2 linked regions of the Coturnix japonica genome follow. The protein of the gene in region 1 purifies or fractionates together with the protein of each later gene. This does not show direct contact. Links are inferred from orthologs where the notes say so. Each region holds a gene or a part of one and is shown in the gene's direction. Other genes may lie near its edges. The genes, in order: BLNK and SYK.

The links.
Region 2: the proteins of BLNK (region 1) and SYK purify together in Homo sapiens (affinity purification with western blotting; 3 studies listed by BioGRID and IntAct, with this or other methods). This does not show direct contact. The link is inferred for Coturnix japonica from reciprocal best matches to the Homo sapiens genes BLNK and SYK.

Annotation. Positions count from the first base shown.
Region 1 is NC_029521.1:18,330,945-18,334,766, reverse strand, and holds part of BLNK (B-cell linker protein), read left to right. Parts: intron 1-794; coding exon 795-822; intron 823-1,125; coding exon 1,126-1,198; intron 1,199-1,557; coding exon 1,558-1,588; intron 1,589-3,006; coding exon 3,007-3,049; intron 3,050-3,799; coding exon 3,800-3,822. UniProt on the Homo sapiens protein: Functions as a central linker protein, downstream of the B-cell receptor (BCR), bridging the SYK kinase to a multitude of signaling pathways and regulating biological outcomes of B-cell function and development.
Region 2 is NC_029547.1:39,247,143-39,251,031, forward strand, and holds the start of SYK (tyrosine-protein kinase SYK), read left to right. Parts: upstream 1-1,043; 5' UTR 1,044-1,337; intron 1,338-1,380; exon of another isoform or gene 1,381-2,424; intron 2,425-3,889. UniProt on the Homo sapiens protein: Non-receptor tyrosine kinase which mediates signal transduction downstream of a variety of transmembrane receptors including classical immunoreceptors like the B-cell receptor (BCR).

The DNA of each region.
Region 1 (3,822 bases):
CTTCAAGTACAAATACCATCCTGTACTTAAAAAAAAAAGGTGTGGGGGATGGGGGGGGGGGAGAAAAATTGCTTAAACTACAAGAACTTGACTTTCAGTAGCAATGAGTTATTTTGCCCAGTTTGGAGTACCTTCGAGTGCCTTCACTGACTGGGTAGTGTGAGTAAACGCTATCACTTGAAAATGCTGTCCCCAGAGGAATTGCGTTTAAGAGGACTGGGAGGATCACACCATTCCAACCAGGGAATGGATGTGTTTGTAACCAACATTAGTGAAAAGCCATTAACCTGGTGGGTGAAAATGGAAAAAAGAGTAGCTGGTGCCTCTTTAAATTGTACTTTTCAGAGCAAAGTCTCCCCTAAAGGACAGTATCTGGGTGCCAAAAGAAAGCATCTACAGAAGAAACTACAAAACAAATTGGATTGCTTCTGTTCTAGGAAGGTGGAAAGTCAGTCTGCTCACTACTGTTAGTTCAGTGCAAAATGTCTGCTGCAGAATTTGAGCTTTCAATTTCAGAAATGAAATATGAACTAATAGATCTCACTACAAAATTCAGGGTCAATTTTATCCATACTCTATGAAAGCCTAAGTTTATTATAATGTTCAAAATTAATTGGCTGGCTAATTTTTTTCAAATCCCCTAACAGAAGCTATGAAAAATATCCTGGATACTGTATGCTCTCTATACAAATATATAATTAAAAACTAGTACAGACTGCAACCACAGATAACTTATGCACTTCCCACTTAATTAAATTGCTTCTTGTCAAATCTAACATACTTTTCCATTACAGGACCATGAAGCAAACAATAATGATGCAAGTAAGTATTCTGTACTGTAAACATGGTGGTATGAGCAGAATTTGTTGTCAGTATGTCACTGGTGACCTTAACGTACCATGCAGTGGAATGTGTCAGTGTAAATGTTATCTGTATTAGCCAGCAACAAGCAAGAAATGCTCCTGAACTGTTTTCTAATACAATCAGAGTGAAAACATGTCAAGAAAATCAAACCACTGGCTTTTTTTTTAACCTCTGATATGTTAACATTGAAATACAGTGAGGAAAACCCATTAATCAGGCGAAGCTAATATTGCATGCTAAATATTTCATATCTGTTTCTAGATCATAGCTTCAATAATACACAAGAATCTAAATTTCCTACTGGAGCAGCTCCATCTCCATTACCAAGGGCCCTGTGAGTAAAAATAATAGGCAAGCTACTTCTTTGAGGGTGGGGCAAATTAATACTGGCTGTACTGGGAGCCAACTCCTAACCTGGTCTGTGGCAATCAATTCAGGAATAATGTTTTTTTCTGCAGTTAATGAACAATACTGTGACTTTAGGGGAAGACAAGCTATTCTTCCATTATTTCTGGAGGAATGCTGTTTGTAAACCAGTGACATTGCCTTTCACTGTGTGCTGCTGACGGCAAATGCTGGCTGGATTGCTTAATCTACCCAAGTACAGCAGCAATAGCATGCACGTGCTTGGTTGCTAAATGAATTCCATGTATCAGCCAAGTAACCATGTTCCTTTCTTCCTACAATTTACAGAAAGAAAACTTCTAATGCAGTAAATCCAGCAGTAAGTTGATCTATAATTGTATAATTAAGCAATAACTTTGTGTGAATCCAGCAGTAAGTTGATCTATAATTGTATAATTAAGCAATAACTTTGTGTGATCAAACTTGATCATGAATTTGGCTACAACGTAAAGGCACAGAAAAAGCAGAAGAGAGACTAGAAGAATAAGCGTGGATGCATTTACATGAAATAAGTAGCAGGGAGAAAGCTCAAGTAGAAAAATGTTTAGATTAAATGAATGTTTGGATCTGATACCCTACAATCATAGAATCATTAAGGTTGGAAAAAAGAAATAAGGTCATCCAGCCCAACCACAAGTCCATGTGTGTGACCAGTCTACACCAGGTCACTCAGAGTGATGTCTATCCTTTTCTTGAACACCTCCAGAGACGGTAACTCCACCACCTCCCTGGGCAGCCTGTGCCAGTGCATTACTACTCTCCTTCTGAGAAGAAACACTTGCTTATATCCAGCCTGAACCTCCACTGATGAAGCTCAAGTCCATTACCTCTCATCCTAACCACTGTTATCTGGGAGCAGAGACCAACCCCCAGTTTGCTACAGCATTTTAGGAAGCTGTAGAAAGTGATAAGTCTCCCCTGAATGTAACAATATGCACATACTGCAAGGACTGAATTAAAATGAGAAATAAGAAGGAAATCCCTGAAATAAATAGGGCCTACATACAAAGAACATACATTTATTTTCAGAATGATAGTTCAAGAAAGATGTGGGATTTTACCAGGATTAGTCAGGTTTTTTTTTTCAATAAGCATTTCATCTTTATAAGAAATCCCAAAACTTCCAGTAGGAAAAAGAGATAAATTGTTGAAAATTCCTATTAAATTAAATAGGAAACATATTTTGAAACTGGCTGTTTATTATCATCAATTTAAAATAGGAAGGAGGAAAAAAAAAAACCAAACTTAAGTAGAAGGCTGAGAGGGATTTTACTGGTGGCTAAACTGGCAGTCTGAGCTTCAGTACAGAAAGAAGAATGGGTTCAGACATCTGTATGTACAGATCAACAAAGATGAAAATATTCAAATTTTGATTCAAAAGTATTTGGGATGAACTCTTCATTTCTGGACTTGAGGTCAGAAGGAACTGTAAATTACTCATGGGGATGAAAACTAAAAGAAAAAGTCTTAAAGTACTCATTTCTGAATTTTTCTTCTGTCCATCCATTCATTCCCACAAACTAGGATTCTTTCCAAATCTACTTCACAAAACCCCAAGTTGCATTGCCATACAGCCAGAGGCTCTTCTCAGAATAGCTGTGCCCCTGCCTCCTGATACCCACAGGACTCCATCAGTTCTGAATGTAAACTAGTTAACAACAACTGTAAAAAGATATTTGCTGTGTAAATAATGTAATGACATGTTATTTAGTATTGTAATTCTGTGTTTAATTACAGAAACCATGCTTGCCTTCCAGAGACAACTTCACTGTAAATGAAGGTAAATTTTCTCCACTAGTTTGGAAAAGTTGACATTATCAAAGTTATTTATTTTTCTTATTAGAAACAAACAATATCACATCCAATTTATCCTTGTTATTTTAGGAGAGGCTGGTCTTAGCAGTTTAGAACTGGATCTGGCCAGCCTTAGTTGCACTGAGTATCATTGTTCTCTAAAAGCAGTCGCAATAAAACTTCTGAGGTTACTGGCAGCATAAGGCATGACATAACGCAGCAGCAGTGTGCCATATAGTCCTCAAAGCAGAGACAGGGGAAGGGAGGGGAAGCATGAGCGCATCATTTTGAGCTCAGCAAGGAGCATCTCACATAGAGATGGCTCCTGGCAAGAGCCAGTCCATCACACAGGCAGGAAATCAGTGCCAGGCGGCAGCACCTTGAGGCAAAAGCTCAGCTGGGGCTGCTGCCTGACACAGGGTAACTGCAGCCCCACTGCAGCTCCTCTGGCTGAGCAGCCAGCATTGTCCTCTGTGTCACACAGCTCGCCCCCCAGAAGGCAGGGCTCCCACAGAGTTCTGTGGGCACTCAGAGTGCAGCTATTTGCTTATAAACTTTGGTAGAGTGCCACTAGTCAGTAATGACGGTAGCAGGATGGCAAGCCTCCACGTGAGAAAATCCTCCAAAAAGATGATAACAAGTAAAGAAGCCCTCCTTCATCTACTGAGACAGTCTTACCAGGGACAACATGTTTCTAAAGAAACGCTGACTCTTATTTGTCTTTCCCAAACTACAGACAAACCTACAGCAGCAGAACGA
Region 2 (3,889 bases), on another chromosome or scaffold:
GACTGGGGCAGAGTGCAAAACACAGGAAACCTCACCACTGAGCAGCAGTGCCCAGCAGCAAAGAAAATGCATTACTCATACGCTATTACTCAAAATCCCAGATAGGCACCATATCAGCTGCTGCGGAAAGTTAACTCTACCCTTACCAGGTCAAGTACTCTTGCTCACATATAATTAAAAGTCATGAAACATTTTTTTTTTTTTTCACCAATTTAAGAAGAAACTTCTGCTTAAAATCTTGTTCATAGCACAGTAATGACTTTCCAAAAGCCATTTCCTGTAGACTGTGCCTTTGGATGGTGTTAGGAAAGACTTATGCCATCAAAGGCCCTCCAAGAATCAAGTTTTCTTAACACACAGGTAGTGCCAATTCAGAAATGTATCTGCACTTTGGCAATCAGACCAAAAGAAAGGCCCTTTTCAACCGGTATGAAACATGAGGCTTTTGCCCTTTGGCAGCTCTGTTTAGTATAATGGATGTGGAAGGAGAGCCAGTGCTTCCTTGCAGCACCTCTTTCTTATACAATAAGCAGGCCCACTCACTGCAGCAATCACTTAATACAAGGGAGCAGGAAACAGACCTCGCCTCACGTTAGTGCTGCTCATCATGGCACACAACACCACCATGCAGTGGCCATGCCTGAAGGAGAAGCATGGCTGCAGGTGCACCTGAGGTGCCATTCAATGCCAGTGGCAGCGCATCCTGGAGAAGCTTGTTGCCGTCTGTTGCATGTGCAGACATCTGTAGTGGAATTGACTCCCTCGTACATGGAGCCTTAGGGACGGGGTCCTCTTCAGCTCTCTTCCACACCAGGTGTTGTCTCTTCCATACTAGCAGCGGCTACAAAATGAGTAAATACCATATGCAGCACAAAGATCCTATGTTGTTTCAAATACAAACCGTTTTTGCTCCTCCAGAAGCAATTTTCTCACCAAAACACAAAAGTACCAAAATACATTACATTTCAATGCTGACAATCAGCGGGTCTATTCATTTTCTCCCAAGAGACGACCACTCTTGCGTCCCTCTGCTTTCCCACGTTCACCTCACACCATCGGGCACCACAACACGCACGTCGGGGCGCCGCGGGTCGCACACCGCACACCCTCATGGACAAACGTTCTGACAGGCCGGGGGCCGGAATCGCCCGAGGGAGGGAGCAGGGGGCCGACAGTTCGTTGAGGAAGTGGCCTCGGCTGAGAGAGAAAACGAGGAAGCGGCGGCTCTCGCAACGCATAACTCGGGCACAGCTCTCGGCTGAGCCGCGCCGCTCGGCTCGCTCCCAGGAGGAGCCGGTGGGCGGCAGTAGGCGGCGAGCGGAGGAGCCGCCGTAGCGGTGAGTGGAGGCCACGCCGGGCCGGGGGGATGCTGGCAACAACGAGCGGGGTGGGCCGGGGTCTGCCAGCCGCCTTTTTTCTCCGGGGTTTACCCGGAGAGCGGCGAGTAAATGTGCCAATCTGCTGAGGCAAGCTGGAACGTTCCGTCCTTCTGTAGTAACATCGGTAGCCTGGCATTTGAGGAACTAGAATATGGAACTTAAATACAGAAAATATATAGATTTAGTCATGTTTTGAATGTGTTGCGGAGTAGTTTTTAACAGCGTAAAATTTACACTAAAGTAACTGTTCAGCTTCTGAATGGTGCATAGTATATAAAAGATTTGGCACCTGGGAAAATGGCTTTAAAAAGAGCTTCTTTCTTATAAAAAATCTGGATTTTGTTTCTGTCAGAATAATCACAGAGCATTGCTAGAAGTGCTGAATGTTGGTACTAAGGGTGCAATGGTTGACTTGCTGCTGATCATTTCAGTATTGGGCAGTATTTTCTTCTGTAGCTCTGTACTATGTGCAGTTTGTGCTGGAGTTCATTGGGTGTGGGTGTAGTAATGCCACCCTGGGAAGAGATGGATGCTGCTTTTGTTGGGTGACGCCGACCCCACCAGAGGTGATTGAGACACAATTTGGCCAGAATGCATGGAATATTACAGAGTAATTCCATTTCAAAACAAAACAATTCCATCTAAGGGAATGAACTCCTTGTAACTTCTTTTGATGTTCTTTTCAGTTGGGCTTCTTTTATATTCTTTTTATCCAAAGACATTTAGAATTCTCAATTCTTTGGGCTGAATCTGCAGCTTAATCCACAGGCACAGCTGTCTGGTTCAAGTGACTATCAGTCTTTTAAGCTCGGTGCTACTACAGGCTCAGAGGCCATGAGCTGAAGCAGAGCAGAACACGTTGAGGCAGCCCAGTTAGAGGAACTGTGTTGTTTTTTCATCCCTCTGTTGAACATTCAGTGATAGAGACAAATAAGGAAGTTTGAATGCTCTTTATTTCTGACAGTTTTCCTGTGGGGGAGAAATGTTATAGTTTGGCAAAGACTTTGAACTAAAAGGTTTGGAATCACCGAATGTGCCCCAAAATGTAAGTAATTGCTTCAGATTTCAAATGTACATGAAATAACTGCAAAACCCCATGATAAACTGTTGAAGTGTTCTTGGTTTTCTGCCTTTAGAAAGTATTAAGTCCATAAGATCAGCAGTGAACAGTGCTACTTGTCCATTTTGAAAGAAGAGCAGAATTAGATCTGAAGTTGCAGGAAGACAAAACCAGAAGTTCAATTTTAGTAGGAGCTAGCAGGTTACGCTGGAAACTAAACTGCATTTTAGAGCACTGATGGTAAAACCAGAAGCTGGATTTAAGCACCCTAATAACAAAAAATATAACATAGACATGTTACCATACACTTTTATCTTTGTGTGTGGGTGTGTGTGTATGTTATGACAGAGACATGAGGAGCAGAAGTCACTACTGAAATATATGTTGTGTTCAGAGTTCATGGGATTGCAATCAAAGTTTGTTTTTTTATAATCAGTTTTGATTCATTTTACTTTCTTTATGCTTTTTCATTACTCAATATTTAGCAAAAAACAAAAAACAAAAAAAAAAAAAACAAAAAAAAAAAACCCTAAAAACCAACCAAACAAACAAAAAAACCCTACAAAGCCCACAGTAAATTGGCTGACATTCCTAGTGAGAATACTGTGACTGTCAGCAATTGTGTTTGTGTCTGTATTTATGGCAGAAAGGTACTAGATGGTGATGTCCATTTTTCAGCTTTATGGACTCTTCGATCAGTGGTTCAATACCTGTTTTGTGCACACCAGTTACATGTTTAGCTCCAGGATAAAATGGCCGAAAAGGGGAACATGTATGATTTTGTATTGTAATTATAAGGAATTCAGTGTGTATCTTTGCATGTGAGTAACAATTACAGAAAGATCATTCCAGTCAGCTATTTAAAATTGTTTATTTTGCATTTAAAGATGAGGTGTACTTGTGTGATCTTCTGCATCGGGGTGAACATACTTGTGCCACTAAGACTGTGCACGACTTCAGTCTGAGCACAGTGTTCTCTTTAAAAGCTCAAGATAATCTTGTGAACATGAGAAATGTAGTTCAGTCATAAGAGTGAAAACTTATCACACTGCAAGCATTTGCAGGATCATCTTAACTTCTAATTTGGAGAAAATACCATTTTATTGTAGGGAAACAGTTTTGTGTTGCTTTATCTTTACATTCCAAAACCAAAATTAGTTCAGAATTTCCTGTCTCTGTGTGCACAATGACTAAGTGACCACTGCTTTAAATGAGTTTGTTGAAAGGAAAGAAAGGGAAAAATATTTTGAGACCAATTGAGCTTCAGTTTTCATCTTATAAGTTCTCGTAGGTATCTGCCACCTCTCTGTACCAGGTAACAGAACAACTTCAAATGTAGGAAATATTCTTAAATAGCCAGAATGCAGAAATGTAATAGAGTATTATTTTGTGTGGTTTCACTATCACTTGGTTTGTAACTAGCTGATGGTGGTATGTATTAATTTGAACA